Ovis aries: one gene and its partners. The protein of the gene in region 3 interacts with the protein of the main gene of each other region in a biochemical or structural test. Links are inferred from orthologs where the notes say so. Each region holds a gene or a part of one and is shown on either strand. Other genes may lie near its edges.

What was found.
Region 1: the proteins of PRKCA (region 3) and NHERF2 form a complex in vitro, tested with the Homo sapiens proteins (2 studies listed by BioGRID and IntAct, with this or other methods). The link is inferred for Ovis aries from reciprocal best matches to the Homo sapiens genes PRKCA and NHERF2.
Region 2: of the proteins of PRKCA (region 3) and MGMT, one has a biochemical effect on the other in vitro, tested with the Homo sapiens proteins (2 studies listed by BioGRID). The link is inferred for Ovis aries from reciprocal best matches to the Homo sapiens genes PRKCA and MGMT.

Annotation. Positions count from the first base shown.
Region 1 is NC_056077.1:2,104,769-2,109,814, forward strand, and holds part of NHERF2 (Na(+)/H(+) exchange regulatory cofactor NHE-RF2), read left to right. Parts: coding exon of another isoform or gene 1-66; intron 67-2,359; coding exon 2,360-2,539; intron 2,540-3,945; coding exon 3,946-4,099; intron 4,100-4,177; coding exon 4,178-4,221; intron 4,222-4,571; coding exon 4,572-4,634; intron 4,635-4,867; coding exon 4,868-5,026; 3' UTR 5,027-5,046.
Region 2 is NC_056075.1:48,587,859-48,592,904, reverse strand, and holds part of MGMT (methylated-DNA--protein-cysteine methyltransferase), read right to left. Parts: intron 3,439-5,046; coding exon 3,299-3,438; intron 1-3,298. UniProt on the Homo sapiens protein: Involved in the cellular defense against the biological effects of O6-methylguanine (O6-MeG) and O4-methylthymine (O4-MeT) in DNA. Repairs the methylated nucleobase in DNA by stoichiometrically transferring the methyl group to a cysteine residue in the enzyme.
Region 3 is NC_056064.1:62,092,834-62,097,879, reverse strand, and holds part of PRKCA (protein kinase C alpha type), read right to left. Parts: intron 4,488-5,046; coding exon 4,314-4,487; intron 2,434-4,313; coding exon 2,342-2,433; intron 415-2,341; coding exon 352-414; intron 1-351. UniProt on the Homo sapiens protein: Calcium-activated, phospholipid- and diacylglycerol (DAG)-dependent serine/threonine-protein kinase that is involved in positive and negative regulation of cell proliferation, apoptosis, differentiation, migration and adhesion, tumorigenesis, cardiac hypertrophy, angiogenesis, platelet function and inflammation, by directly phosphorylating targets such as RAF1, BCL2, CSPG4, TNNT2/CTNT, or activating signaling cascade involving MAPK1/3 (ERK1/2) and RAP1GAP.

The DNA of each region.
Region 1 (5,046 bases), on a different chromosome or scaffold from region 3:
AATGCCGTGCCATCCGCCCCGGCCCCGGGAGCCCCTCCACAGAGCCCGTCTCGGGGGCTTGTGCAGGTCAGGCGGGTTGGGGGCGGGGTGGGCAGTGAGGTCAACAGCACCCAGCTTAAGTCTCTGGCACCCAGGCTTGGCAGAGGGGACCCTGGGCACCCTGGTGTGAGCAGGCTGGACCCTGAGCAACAATGGGGGCCTTTCTCTGCCCGGGCTGGTGAGTCACCATATGGGGGGGTGTAGAGCCTGGCTCCAAGAGTTACCCCCATGCCAGCCTCTTGGACTGGTCACAGGCAGGGCTGGGAGTCAAGCGCTTGTCCAGCTCAGGGGCAGTCTGTTTGGAACTGGGGCTTGGAAGCCCCTGGAAGCCCAAGGGCCCAGCTGGGAGGCTGCAGGAAGAGCTCTGAGCCAGGCTGGAGAGAGGAATGCGAGCAATGCGCTGGGCCAGCCTGCACCCCCTCCCAGCCTGCTGCGCTGGGCCTCTCCCGGGGCCTCCCTCTGGGTGCCCAGGCCACTGGCCTCACTCTTCGGCCACTGCAGCCCCCCAGCCCGAGGGTCCAGTGCCAAGTCTGGTGCTCCTTGGACCCTGATCCTAATGCGAGGGATGTGGGCCAAATGTTAGTGGCGGGAGATGGCTGTCCTGGGTCTAGCCAGGGAGATGGCCAGTGTGGTCTCGAACCGGAAGTGACTGCATTCAGTCTGGCCTCATGGCCCCGGATGCCCCCTAGTCCTGCTTCCTGTTTGGGGGCCTTGAAAGACCTCGGCCTGGAACCATTGTGGAGGGCGTGGGAAGAGCCTCAGGGGAGGGCTGTCTCTCACACCACAGGTCACCGCAGGGGTCTGTGGAGCCTGTTTGCACGCCTGTGTTTGGATGTCTGGTCTCTGTGACTGTGTGAGGTGCCTCGGCCATCTGGGCCCGCGTCCACCTACCAGGTGTGGTCATGTCACACGTCCAGGGTCCCACACGGCCCTGGCCAGCCTCGGAACCTGTGGTCTGACAGCCCCAGCCTGAGAGTTGCCTCAGAGCCACACACCTGTGCTTGCAGCTGTGTTTGGAGAGGGCCCAGTCTGTGGGGTCCTGGAGAACCTGGGTGTCTGCCCAGCCGATCCCCTGGAGGATGGAGGAGCAGAAGCCCCAGCCCCTGGAATTTCTGGGGCAGATGGTGGCCTGCAGCAGGGGTTCCTGGGGGGCTTTGGAGATCAGGGACTCTTTGGGGATCAGGAACGGGCCCCTGGAGGAGGGGCCCAGGCTGGACTGGAAGGTGTTCCCCACCGGTAGGAAGGCCCACATGCTGGGGCAAGGTACCATCCTGTAAGGAAGGGCACTCTTGGTTCCACGGCAGGGTGGCCACAGTCAGATTTGGGGGATTTGGGGTGAGCTTGGAGGCTTGGAGGCTGGCTCTCCCAAGTGTGGCCCCCCACCTGGCCCAGTGTCCCCGGCCACACACAGGGAGGTGGAAGGCCAGGCCCCGGTGAGCACCCCCGCCCCTGCACGCACATTTGAGCCCTAAGCGCTGGGGAAACCTGAGCTGCTGGCCGCCTGCTCCCTCCGGCCACCGCCATGTTAGACTGAGCGTCGCGGCCGCTGGCCACTCAGCGCTGGTCATTGCCTTAGGCCCCGGTGGGGTCCTGGGGTCTGGCCCCTGCCTGCACGGCTCCCTGCACCCCCTGGCCCATAGCCCTACTGCAGGATGCCAGAGGTAAACGGAGGCAGGGCCCTTGGGTGTGGGTGGGCACCCTCAGGGCACCAGGAGCCCCCGGGGTCAGAGGGGCAGGTGGGAGGCAGGCCCCTCTGCTTGCTCACTGGGCTCCAGCGTGTGGGGATGGGGGCTGCTCCAGCTGCTCTGGAATGTGAAGGCAAACACAGCTGCAGCTGCTGCCACCAGCCCCAGGGAGACCTGTGGGAGTGTAAACAAAGCTGGAGCCCTACCCCAGCAGACCCACACTCGGAGTAAACAACAGGCGGGGCTGCCCTCCTGGAACAGAGACACGGGGCAGCTCACCTCGCCTGCTCCCTCCTCGGCTCGGGTCTGCGCCCAGCCCTATCCTCGACCCAGTGGATTCTCCCAATCCCACTGTAAGGCCTTTGATCGCATCACAGGCCCACTGGGGGTTTGGAAACCAAGCCTTTGTCCAAGATCCCAAAGTTGGATCATCGTAGGTGGCCTAAGCACCCCCACACCCCAGGACGGGTCTCTGAGACGAGGGGCTACCATCAGGTGGGGGTATGAGGCCAAGCGCTGCCTTGGCACCCAGCGGGGTGTGGGGTGGGTGTGGGCTGGAGGCCTCGGGCGTCAGCATCTCTCAGATGGGAGGAGGTCAGAGCTGGAACCTCACCAGGTGTCCCCGACGCCTGCAGGATGCCAACGGGCCTCTGAGGGAGCTGCGCCCAAGGCTCTGCCACCTACGGAAGGGCCCCCAGGGCTACGGGTTTAACCTGCACAGCGACAAGTCCCGGCCCGGACAGTACATCCGCTCAGTGGACCCCGGCTCCCCTGCTGCCCACTCTGGTCTCCGTGCCCAGGACCGACTCATAGAGGTACCTGCCACTGGGGCTGCGGGGAGCGGGCTGCCCTGTGTGTACCTGTGTCCTGCTGTGCGTGCCTCTGTGTGTCTGTGCCTGTGTGTGTGTGTACGCCTACGTGTCTGCCTATCCGTGTCCGTGTGTATATGTGTCTGTGCCTGCGTGCTGTGTCCATGTGTATCTATCTCTGTGTGTGTGTCTGCCCTTGCATGCCTGGTGTGTCCGTGTCTATGTGTGTGTGTGCATGTGCCTCTGTGTGCCTGTGTGTGTCCTTGTGTATCTGCACCTGCGTGACGGTAGGTGTGTCCGTGTATATCTGTGTCTGCACCTATGTGCCTGTAGGTGTGTCCGTGTCTATCTGTGTGTGTGCATGCATGTCTGTGCACTTGTATGTGTCCCTGTGTATCTGTCTGCACCTGCGTGCCTGTAGGTGTGTTCCTGTGTTATCTGTCTGCACCTGCATGCCTTAGGTGTGTCCGTGTGTGTGCATGTGCGCCTGTGCACCTGTGTCCATGTGTATCTGTGTGTTTGCACCTGTGTGCCTGTAGGTGTGTCCATGTGTATCTATCTATGTGTGTGCGCCTGCAGGCCTGTGTGTCTGTGTGTACTTATCTGTGTGTGTGCACCTGCATGCCTGTAGGTATGTCTGTGTCTGTGCGCCTGTGTCTGTGTGTATCTGTGTGTGTGTCTGCACCTGCATGCCTGTAGGTGTGTCCATATGTGTGTGCGCGCACCTGTGCATGTTCGAGTGTATCTATGTCTGCAACTGCATGACTGTAGGTGTGTCCGTGTCTATCTATCTGTGCGTGTGCATCTGTGCACCTATATGTGTCTGTGTGTATCTGTGTGTCTGCACCTGCGTGCCTGTAGGTGTGTCCGTTTATCTGTGTGTGTCTGTGCGCCTGTATGTGTGTGTATCTCTGTGTGTCTGCACCTGTGTGCCTGTAGGTGTGTCTGTTTATGTGTGTGTCTGTGCGCCTGTATGTGTGTATCTGTGTGTCTGCACCTGCGTGCCTGTAGGTGTGTCCATGTGTCCGTGTGTATCTGTGTGTGTCTGCACCTGCGTGCCTGTAGGTGTGTCCGTATGTGTGTCCGCGTGTATCTGTGTGTGTCTGCACCTGCGTGCCTGTAGGTGTGTCCGTGTGTGCGCGTGCCTGTGCACCTGTATGTGTCCGCGTGTATCTGTGTGTGTGTCTGCACCTGCGTGCCTGTAGGTGTGTCTGTGTGCATCTATCCACGTCTGTGTGCCTGGGCCCCAGGTCCTCTGCAGGAGGAAGATTCCGGGAACCTGAGCTGGTGCTCTTCTTGGTGCTGCAGCTGGTGACGGCACTGATGAATATTTGATGCCACACCTGTCCGGGTGGCTTGGGGGGCTGGTGGGGACCAGTCCCCAGGCAGCACTGACCCTGTGCTGGTGGCAGGTGAACGGGCAGAATGTGGAGGGGCTGCGCCATGCAGAGGTGGTGGCCAGCATCAAGGCGCGGGAGGACGAGGCCCAGCTGCTGGTGGTGGACCCCGAGACGGATGAACACTTCAAGCGGCTGCGGGTCACACCCACCGAGGAGCATGTGGAAGGTGAGCGGCTGCTTTGGGGCCCAGGGCTGGGGTGAAGCATCGGGGACCCGAGTGGTCAGTTACATACTGTCCCCACAGGTCCACTGCCATCGCCGGTCACCAACGGGACCAGCTCGGCCCAGGTGAGAGGGTGGGAGCAGACAGGGTGGGCTCGGGGACCTCAGGGGCACTTCTGGGAGCCCCTCCTGAGACCTCAGTCCTGGTGTCACATGGTTGTGACACTGAGCCCGGCCCTGTCACTCCCAGCTTTAAGGCCCCTTGGGTCCTGTCCGGGCCCAGCCGCACTCCACCCCACAGGGCACTCGGGCACCGCCAGCTTGCAGTCAAGGCTCAGTGCCACTGCCAGATGCAGGAGTAAATGCAGCTCTGGGGTGTGCACGTGTGTGCACACACTTGTGTCCATGTGTGCACATACGTGTGCACAGTCTCCTGGGTGGGCCCCTGAAGCCACACCTTACCCTTGGTTTCCCAGCTCAATGGTGGCTCCGTGTGCTCGTCCCGAAGTGACCTGCCCGGCTTAGACAAGGACACTGAGGTAGTGGGTGCCCCTCCACCTCCAGTGCTGCTGCTCACATGCTGGGGGGCCTGAGGCCTTGGGGGCGGGCATCTGTGGAGCTGTCAGCCTGAGCCGTGAGGCCGCCGCCTCTAGGAAGCCTTCCTGGGCCTGCTGCCAGGTGGCCTCTGGCGCCAGCTCCCTGGGGAGGGCCACCTGCCTGGGGGCTGGGGTCCAGGGCTCACTGGCCACCTGCCCACCGTGTCCACCCCTAGGATGGCAGCACGTGGAAGCGAGACCCTTTTCAGGAGAGCGGCCTTCACCTGAGCCCCACAGCAGCTGAGGCCAAGGAGAAGGCGAGAGCCACCAGGGTCAACAAGCGGGCACCACAGATGGACTGGAACCGGAAGCGCGAGATCTTCAGCAACTTCTGAGCCCCCTGCCTGCTCCCCAC
Region 2 (5,046 bases), on a different chromosome or scaffold from region 3:
AACGCGGCCCTCTCTTTCTAAGCACCATGCAGATGACAGCCTGGTGGCCTGGAGTAGCAGTTACAGAGACAGCTACGGTCAGTCTTCATCTTTGATGGGAACTGGTGACTGACCAAACACACACGAGTCTCACCTCCAGAAACGGGAACACTGCTTCTGCTCGTGCCAATTTCAGTGGCAGGCTCCAGACTGTTAAAATAATGAAACCTGCTAAACTTCACTGTGGCCCTAAGGACATTCCAAAGGATCCACACCCTCCATGCCCTCTCCTTTAAAGCCTGTGCTGCATGAGATGTAATCTTCATCAATAACCAAGCAGCTCATAATATCACGGCTGCACTGAAATCTTCACGCTGTGAAATCTAATTCATCCAATACATGAATCCATCACTTACACAGACCCTTTCTCGAATGCTATAAAACTTCCAAACCCATAGATTTGTCTCCAACAAAAATAACATGAAGGGGCCTTTCAATCAATAATGGAATCCCTCTGATTCTGGTGCTGGCTGAATATTTTCTCCAGCTTTGCCTTTGTTCTTGTGGGCAGCAGCCCACAAGGGAAAGAGCTTGTTTTCACTTGCGGCCTCATCAATACCTAAATCCTGGTGAACAAGTGACACTGAGAAGCTGTAATCAATAGCTCCCTGCGCGTTTTTTTCTTCTGGTCAAATGGTTCAGCCCCACTGACAGCCCTGACACTTAGAACATGAAGCTAAGTCTTTATCAACAGCCATCTGGGTGACTGGCAGGACAAGACTCGGGGGTCACTGAGGCTCGTGGCGATCTGCGAATAAACGAACTCCTCAGGAATGCACTTGTTTAGGAAAAGGTGGGGAAACTCTCTGCCAAGTATTGATTGCTTCTGAACTGCATTTAGCAAATTCTGAGGATGAACAGGAAGGGGCTTTATCAGGCAGGGTGTGAGCCCTTGTCAACCTGCCTCACCAGAAGACTGCCGCCCCAGGGCTGGGTCTGGGACAGGGCATTCTGGAGGGCTGCCAAGTCATTACACCTGGGCTATTAATCCATTCATGGAAAATTCTGGAAAAACCAAGGGCCTGGGGTGGGCTGAAACCCCCCCAGCAGCAGACACCACCCCTCAGTCTGCAGGTGAGCAGCCCACGCCTCAAGCACAGGCCATCACGGGGGCCGGCGCGTCCTTGTTTACTGCCGGACATGGAATGGGCGCACCATAAGCGCCAGGGTGTCCTGCAGCTTCTGCGTCCATCTGTCTGTCACGCTCCTCCTGAACACAGAGATGGCTTCATTGCGTATATCTCCAGGCCACACTCCCTGTGCCCACGTGTGGCTCTGTGGCTGGACTCTGCCGTCGGCATGAGAAGGGGGACGTGTCCACTGGGTCGGCCCCTTATCCCTTCACTTACCTGGGTCCCCTTAGGACCCCTCAGCCTGCTCTATGGATGATCCAAAGACCTCTGAGCACGGCTGACTCTGCTGAGCTGGCCCAGCTGCAAGGCACGCAGGCTGTCTCCTTCCGGGAGCACCCCAGCTCTTCTGAGCTACCCCTGGAGGCATCTACTGGGTCCTCTGCAACTTTCTGGTCAGGCTGGGGTTCCTGTGTGAGGCCAGGCAGTGCCCTGCAACAGAGGGATGCCCAGGGCAAGGCCAGTGGCTCACAGCCACCGCACCACCCTTGTCATGGGACGGCACCACCATGAGGGGCCACGGTGCAGGCAGGATCCTCCCCGTGTCCTCAGGCCACCTGGGCACGCGCCCATGGGGACGTCAGGACAGGGACTGCATGGACAGAAGCGTCTCAGGCCCCGTGAGAGCCTGCTTTACAGATGTCAGGGGCTGGGGCCACAGTTGAGCAGACACAGTCACAGAGATCAACAGCAGGAGGAGGCAGTCCTGCTGCCTGCAGGACAGTGAAGGTTTCTGAATGCTGCCTTACGCGCTGTCGCCAGCAGCCACGGCCTGGCCACTTCAGAAAGTGGGGAACTGCGGGTGTCACGAGGGGCAGGTGTGGGCTGCTGTGCACGCCAGTGAGCGGGGCTGCACGTGCCGAGGGGGCAGGCAGTGCTGGGATGAAAGGCCAGCCTCAGGGAGGGGAAGGCCCTCAGGGAGAGGAGCAGAAGGACCAAGCATCCCCAGGGCATGAATGGAGTGCAGACAGACGGGAGAATTTCTACACAGCTCGGGGACCCTGGGATGCAGGGAGCAGGCACCTCCAGAGCTCACCCAGAGGCCCTGCGTGGACACACAGCACGGGGTGGGGTCACACTGTCTAACAGAGTGACCTGGGAGAAGGCGGGGGCCTCCAGAGGAGAGGAGCCACGTCAGCGTCACTGGGAAGCCTCAACAGTTACCCCTGGAAATTGATCCAGGGTCACCCACGTGTGCCACGCAAACGAGGCCTGCAGCCTGTGGAGATGGCGTGTGTGACTGACACACGGGGACGCTGCGATGGAAGCACGAGAGAGGCAAACACGACACCAACCCACTCCCCCAGCCCCTGCCGCGCGGGGCTCGCGGCCTGCGAGGTGGCGGTGCTGTCATCTGCCGCGCACTGCTCCTGACAGTCTGGGGTGTTTAACACGGACGCAGACTCTTCTCCAGGCAAACGGACACTACAACAGCTCACGCCACCCACAGGAGCCGCCCCTGCGCCCACAACGGTGCGGTTCTGTGTGGAAGGCCGAGTGGCCGCCCTCTCAAAACACCGGCCCTGTCCCGGGGCCACCAGCTGAGGGGAGGGGGCCGCGGGCCATGCTGGGCAAACCCCGCCTCTCCCCAGCGAGCATGGACGGAAACCGTATTGGAGTAGCTCCCCGCCCCGCGATGTGACCATCTGCTGGCTTTTCCTGATTGGATGGCACTCTCCCACCATGTTACAGAGTCCCTACCGCTTCAGGGAGTGACTGTCCCAGGGCGATGGCGCCCAGGTCTGCAGAGACCCTCCTAGGGCGACAGCGCCCGGGTCTGGAGAGGCTGTCCCTGAGTGACAGCACTGGGGTCTGGAGAGCGTGTCACGGGGCCACAGCGCCCAGGTCTGGTGGGCACTGCAGACTAACGACACCGGAGACGTTCCAGGGCCCCGTGCAATCGTGTGAGGGCTCCCAGAGGCCGAGCTGCTGTGTGGATGGGGTGCCCTTCCCACCCCCTGCAGGGTCCTCAGGCGAGTGTGGCCTTGGCCAGGCCCACACCACAGCCTTCCGAGACTGGACGACCCCCTTCCAGAGGCCCTGACGTGAACACCTCCTCTCCTCCCCAGCAGCCCAGGTTGCCTCTGACACTCGCCCCGACACCCCGCTGACCGCGGCCACACACTCACAGGGTTGCTCCTCATGGCTCCTCCCACGGCCCGCGCTGCTCTGGGGTTGCCCGCCAGGGCTGCTAATTGCTGGTAAGAAACCGTTTCTCCGAATTTCACAAGCTTCAGCAGCTTCCATAACACCTGTCTGGTGAATGACTCTGAAAGGGAGAAAGCAAATGACGTTATTGGGACAAACGGCTCCAACAGCTAAGATACAAATAGCTGCCAGCCCTGAAAGAGAAAACGCAACAGCGTACACAGAGGTGTGACTTAATTAAAACCCAGCTCCGCACGGGGTCCTGCCACCACGTCACTGACGAGGAGGACGCGCGGGAGGCGAGCCGAGGGCGGGCCAGCACCTCCACAGGCCTCGCCAGCGGGTAGCACAGATGGCTCGCCCTCCCACCTCCCCAGAGCCCCACGTGGGCCTGCGGTGCGCTCTCCTGGGGCCCGCGCGGGTGTGGGTCGGCACATGGCTCACTTCACACATAGAAGGCCCTGAGTGCGCACCAACTTTGGAAGCTCTGTACTGCTTGCTCAGTCTCGACTACAGCTGGGATGCAGAAGGAAAAGGAGGCCGTGGGCTGGACCACGGTCTGACGCTAGCTTAGCCTCCACACCCAAGAGCGAGCAGGCTGAGGATGCCAGACACCACGGCCCACGAGGCTGGCGGTGACCTTGGCTCCAGGCATCTGCAAGGAGCAGAACTGCAAAGATAAAACAGCCTTACCCCCATTTTAATGAGCAGTCACGTCAAGCTGCTGCAGGGGTGAAGGGTGAAGAGGAGGACACAGGACAGCCCCTCCCTTGGCTGTGGCTCAGAGGGATCCCAGGTGGGCAGGGCACTGCAGAGGTGGGCACGCGCCGGGCCGTCTCATTCGAGGCCTCTCATCTTTCCCCAGAAGACGCGTGCCCGCGAGCATGGGACAGGGAGCTGTCCACCACCCCCCTCTCCAAGGCGAGGGCAGGAGCGCCCGACACAGCGACAAAGGGAAGGATTCCACGGGCAGATCCTGGGTCCAGAACAGCACTAATTACACTTCATGCCAAGCTGGCCAAGTGCGATTTGGTTCTTAAAGGAAACACACCCTTACACGCGTGTTAAATAATAAAAATCACTTCTTAACTGAAAGGAATGATAATCACTTCACTGGGAAAAAAATCTGTTTAGTCTTTATTATAACATTAAGCAAATTAAACATCAGCATAATCCAGGTGATACTAGAAAAGGGTCAGCGAAGAAATTGACTTTGTTGTTCATTAATTTACATGGATTAGTAGAGGGCAGAAAGATAGCGAATGTGCTCTAGTTTTTTATGATATAATTTCAAACTCTGCACCGTTTGTGGCAGGAGGGTGACTTTGGGGTTAATCAGACTGATTTGTCCTTTTAATTGCTTTCTATTCAAAGAAAATTCATTAGATAATGTTCTCTTCAAAATTCATGAATCAATTTAACTGAAGAAACCACATTAACAGCTTTGGGTTCATTAGCACACGCGGTTGTGTGACTAGCTGATTGCTGCGAGGGTTTCCTTAGGCAAACAGACTTTGTTTACTGTGATTTCTTTAGAAAGCGTTTTGAAATCAAACTGTTAATCATTATTATTGTCACCACTGTTGTGCCTAACTTAAAAATAAAAGGAAGGAAAAAGAATAGCAAGGCAGCTTGGTGGTAACTTGGAGAAAAGAGGTTTCAGGGACAGCTGTCTTGAAAAAGAAACAATAAAAGCAGCTCAAGTCAATACTGCAAGACGCCAATGCCA
Region 3 (5,046 bases):
CCCCCGCGCTCCTCTGCTGAGCATCACTAGCAGAAACTCAGCCTGCACGGTCCCCGACCCTCACGCCACATGAAAGGCAGAGGAGGGAGCCGGCAGGGGAGAAAAGCTCATTTTCTTGCAGAAGCAGAAATGAAATATGCCGTCTCTGAGATCCAGAAACCAGAAGCTGGTCCACATTTGCCTGGAGGCTGCAGAGAATGGTGGGTCCCAGCAGGTCTCCATGATGGGGTGGGGGGGATTGTCCTCTCCATGTTGACACCCCCTCTCCCCCCAGCAGAATCACACGCCCATGGAGTCCAGAGGGCCAGCAAAGCCTCCTCTGTGCTGCAGGCACAGGGCCTTGATGCTCACCGATAAATGATTCCTCTTTTATGAAGGAAGAACAGCCCGATGGAAATCTCTGCTGCATAGAACCTGCAACAGAAAACGTCTGTCAGGCGTCCGGCTTGTTCCCTCCGGCCTCCTGGATACTTTCTGCGCTCAAGATCAGGCAGCAAAATGGCACAGGAAGGGGGGACCCTGACCGCCAGAGGCTAGCACTGCCCTACAGGCAGCGCCAACCCTCTGCAGTTTTATGACCCCAGCTTCCCCAAGGGACGACACAGCTGATAAAATCAGCGGAGCAGGTTTATTACCTGTCTGAAAACAAGCCCTTCTTGTCTGGGGCAGGTGGACAGGTAATTTAGCGCTTAAAAGAAATTTTGAGCACAATCTTTTAAGAGTGGCTGTCTGCTAGGTGGTTCTGTCAGGCTATAGTAGATGGAAGCAAATTCCCATTTTCCCCGTAAGGACAGAATACGTTAGCGTTTGAAAACACCCGTCTGCCCTAGAAGACAAAGGTCAGTGTGAGCTGAACTCTGGGAATGGCTTACTTACTCCCACAGCCTCACCCCAGGCGCTGGGGGAGTGGGGCCCAGGCCACAGTTCATACCTGGTGCACCCTTTAAATAATTCAGCATAGGAAGGAGTCACAGCCGTCGCTTCAGAGTTGCTAATGGATCAATGTCTGAAACTCCAAAGAAACGCTGAAGGAGGTTTTAAAATCTGCTTGTGTTTAGTTCCTGAAGCCCGAGAAGCCACAAGACTCTGCCTGTGCAAACAGCACTCTCGTGAGGCTTCAGTAAGCACACGTGTTTACACGAGTGTGTCTACAGGAGCGGAGGAAGGGCCCCTGATGACAAGGGCCACACTCTCAACAGGGGGCCGTCTCTGAGTGCCGGTGGGAGGTGGGGAGGAGAGCAGGGGTCACGGGTGACTTTCCTGCGGCTTTCTCCTGTTTTTCTGTTTTGTTTTTTTTTTTTTTTTTAAATATGAAACGTTCCAGCAACACAGATACAATTGAAGGTACTAAGAGGGACGCGCATGGTTTCTGGATGGAGGGAAGCTGTTCTGCCCTTGGCTCCGACAGCCCTGAGTGGTTAGGCTCAGCTCTGCCATTGGCTTGTTTTAATGCTTTGTAACTAACAACATAAGAGACGGGATCAGGGGACAGCTTTCTGAAAACGGAAAGGAAAAATAAAAGCAGAAACCAGCAGCCCTGCCCTTGTTTTGAGCGAGCCCGCAAGAACGCCCTGCTCTGCCTCAGGTGGGTCTCCCCAGGCCGGCTCACCCCACGTGGGCCAGAGCGGCTCGGGTTTATTGTTTAGACTGAACCAACGCTGGAGCCGGATGGAGGTTTGCTCAGGTGATTAACTGGGGTTCCTGGCACAACAAATCTCCACTGGGGGTGAAAGGGCTTTGCCTCTCTGAGTTACCCGCGACTTCCTGGCCCTGGAATACGGGCTGATTCTCCAGGTGGTCAGGGCTCCGCCTCTAGATTCTCCGTCTTCCCTGGAGCCCGCGGCTCCCTGACGGCGCGGATTCCTGCCTCCCGGCCTCGAGGTGCGCACACCCCACTGAAACCTACCCGGAACTCCTCCTGGACGGCAGCCCGTCCCAAGCCTACGGGGGCGTCACCTCGGCCTCTCCAGGACACTGATGCCCCTGGGGCTCCAAGGCCGCTCCGCTCTTTCTGCAGGCTGTCCGCACCTGTGCTACACCAGGCCCCCACCCTCCCGTCTCCTCTGGCCGGGAGGCCCCGATGCTGTCAGGCCCCCGAGGCCCCCCAGGCTCTCTCGCTCCTAGCCAGGCCCTCGCTCTGCTGGGCGCAGCACCCAGAGCCCCTTCCGCTGCTCAGCTCCTGAGAGAGTGGCTCAGGGGTCGGGGCAGCTCCCAGGGACGGAGGAGAACGAAAGTCTCCGTCTCCGTGGGACGCGCGGGCGGACCCCGGGGAGGCAGCGGCGCTTCGCCCCAAGCTGGGCGGAGCCCCACTTCCAGAGCTGAGAGCACTCGAGCTACTCACACTGCTTGCGGCTCCTTGAACCTCCCGACCTGCTGGATGTGGTACATGAGGTCCCCGCCGTTGACGTACTCCATGACGAAGTAGAGCCGGTCCTGGGGGCCGAGGAGGGGGCGGTGAGCGGGCTCCCCGCGGCCGGCGGCCCCGCTCCAGCCCGCGCTCTGCTTTCCCGCTGGGGAAACGCGGGCCGCGCCGGCACGTCTGCCCGGCGGAGCCCGTCGCAGTTTTCTCCCCGCAAGAAAGAATTAGTAAAAAGCCCTGTGTGTGAGGACCTCAGGACATGCCCTGAAACCTCAGCGCTCAGTTGCCCTGCCCACCCCTCTGGTTACAGACGCTCCCAATGGTGGAAGCGGCCTCACACCTTCCTCCCTTCTCTCCTACACACAGAATTCGTTTCCAAGGTGGGGCTGGAGTGGAGAGCCCGCAGAGGCCAGTTCTTTAGCCAGTGGCTGGCAGTGCAGTGATGGCCGGCGATGCGTTTGCCCAGAGTGTCTGAGAGCAGACCTGGTGGGCCGGGGGGCTCGTACCCCGTAGAGCCCAGGGTCGTCCGCCGTGGGGTGGGGCTGCGTGTGCGGAGGCCGCCGGGTGTTCTGCATCCACGTTCGCCCAAATGCTGTTTCTGACTCTCTGTGTGCGCAGCACACAGCACGGAGCTCCGAGAGTCTGCGCCTCTGCGAGGACCTTACCCCGGGACAGATGGGAGGTGGAGGGGCTTTAGGAGGGAGCTAAGAGCGCAGCGCAAGGAGACGCTGGCCTCTCTCTTCCAGGGAGCACCACCATGCACAGAGGTCATTGGACACTGAAGCGGTGCACAGGAGGAAAACGACAGAGCTGGGGCCAACAGGCAGGAGAGGGCGCTGGGAGCCTCAACCCCTCGCCTTCCTGTCATGAACCTTCCTTTCAACCTTATTTCTCTGCTTTGCAGCTTTCCAGAGCTTAAGCAGTGGAACCGGGGTGACAGGATCCCGGCTGGGGCTCGTCCCTCTCCTTTGCGTGTTGCTAGATTCTCTTCCGGACGCTGCTGGGAGCTGCTGGGAGACGGACCTTCACTCGGCTGCCCGCGCCCGGCCGCCCCCTGGTGGCCGGGACTGGCTCTGCGGCCCCGCCATCCACTCCGGGCCGCAGGCTGCGGCCCTGCGGGTCACCGAGCCACAGGTTCAGGACGACAGCCGCTGAGGCGTGGAGAGCTTGCCTTTGGCAACGCCTCACTACGGTGCGGCGTACAGTATACACACATACAAATATAAATATCCGAGGGTTTGTATTTCTTGGAGGTTACCTGCCAGCACCATGCCCCAGACTTGGCTGATTAGTGGAAATTATTTTGTCCTCTTTAGTTAACCTGTGTGACAGGGCTCTGCAAACGTTTTCTGCAAAGGGCCAGACAGGAAATGTTTCAGGCTTTGTGTGTGTCTTGCAACTACTCAGCTGTGCCTTTGCAGTCAAAAGCCCCTGATGCCAGGTTAGTGAAGCGGCAGGCTATGTCCTGAGAAAACCACTTATGGATCTTGAAATCATCTACTTTTCTTGTGTTACAAAATAATATTCTTTTTATAAAGCCTCTCTTAGAGCTCAGGGACCATCCACACAAAACAGGCCAGACTGCCACCCCTGAGTGAGCATTACCCAAGAACATCCTCTTCCAGGACATGGGTCTCCTGACGCTCTGATGGCAATTCGGTAGCTGTACCAGGATTTAATGAGCCAGGACTGTGAGTTACCGTTTTGTATCTCTAAGCCTTAACACATTGCCTGGTGCGCGTTAGAAAAGCCTTTGATAGAAGCACTCACAGAATCAAATGGAGTTAATGCCAAGTCTATGAGTAGGGGATGCCCTGAAGTCCCCAGGGGCACCCAGTCTGCTTGGGAGAGGAGGGCGTGGGCTACCGTCTTCTCCCGGGAGGGGGCTGGGGTGTGGCGTGAGCACCCTGTGGCGGGGGCGGGGGGGGGGGGGGGGGCGGGGGCGGGCCCTCACCGCCGTCTGGAAGCTGGAGTGCAGCTGCGTCAGGAACGGCGGCTTGTCCAGCAGGGCCAGCACCCGCTTCTCCACCATGGTGCACTCCACGTCGTCGTCCTGGATGACCACGTCCTTCTTCAGGATCTTGATGGCGTACAGCTCCTCGGTCCCCTTCCGGTCGGCCAGCATCACCTGCAGGCAGATGGAGGGCAACCTGAACATCCGGGCACACGGCACGGGGGGTGCCGGAACTGTGTGTACAGACCCGTCAATTATTTTTAAAGAGTTTATGTGGCTCATTTTTAAAGTCTTTATTGAATCTGTTACAATGTTGCTTCTATTTTCTGCTTTTGGTTTTTTGGCAAAGAGGCATGTGGGATCTTAGTTCCCCGACCAGGGGTTGAACCTGCAGCCCCTGTGCTGGAAGGTGAAGTCTCAACCCCTGGAGCACCAGGCCAGGCCCAACAGGCTCGCTGACAAAAAGGAAGCTGCCTTCAGGCGCCAGTTCCCAAACGCTGCAGTGTGTGTGTGCACGCGCGCGTGTGTGGTGTGTCTGTGTGTGCGCGTGCGTGTGTGCATATGTGTGGTGTGTCTGTGTGCACGTGCATGTGTGTGTACGTGCGTGCGTGCGTGTGTGGTGTCTGTGTGTGCATGCGTGTGTGCGTGTGTGCGCGCGCATGTGTGTACGTGCGTGTGCGCGCGTGCATGTGTGTACGTGCGTGTACGTGCGTGTGTGCGTGCATGTGGTGTG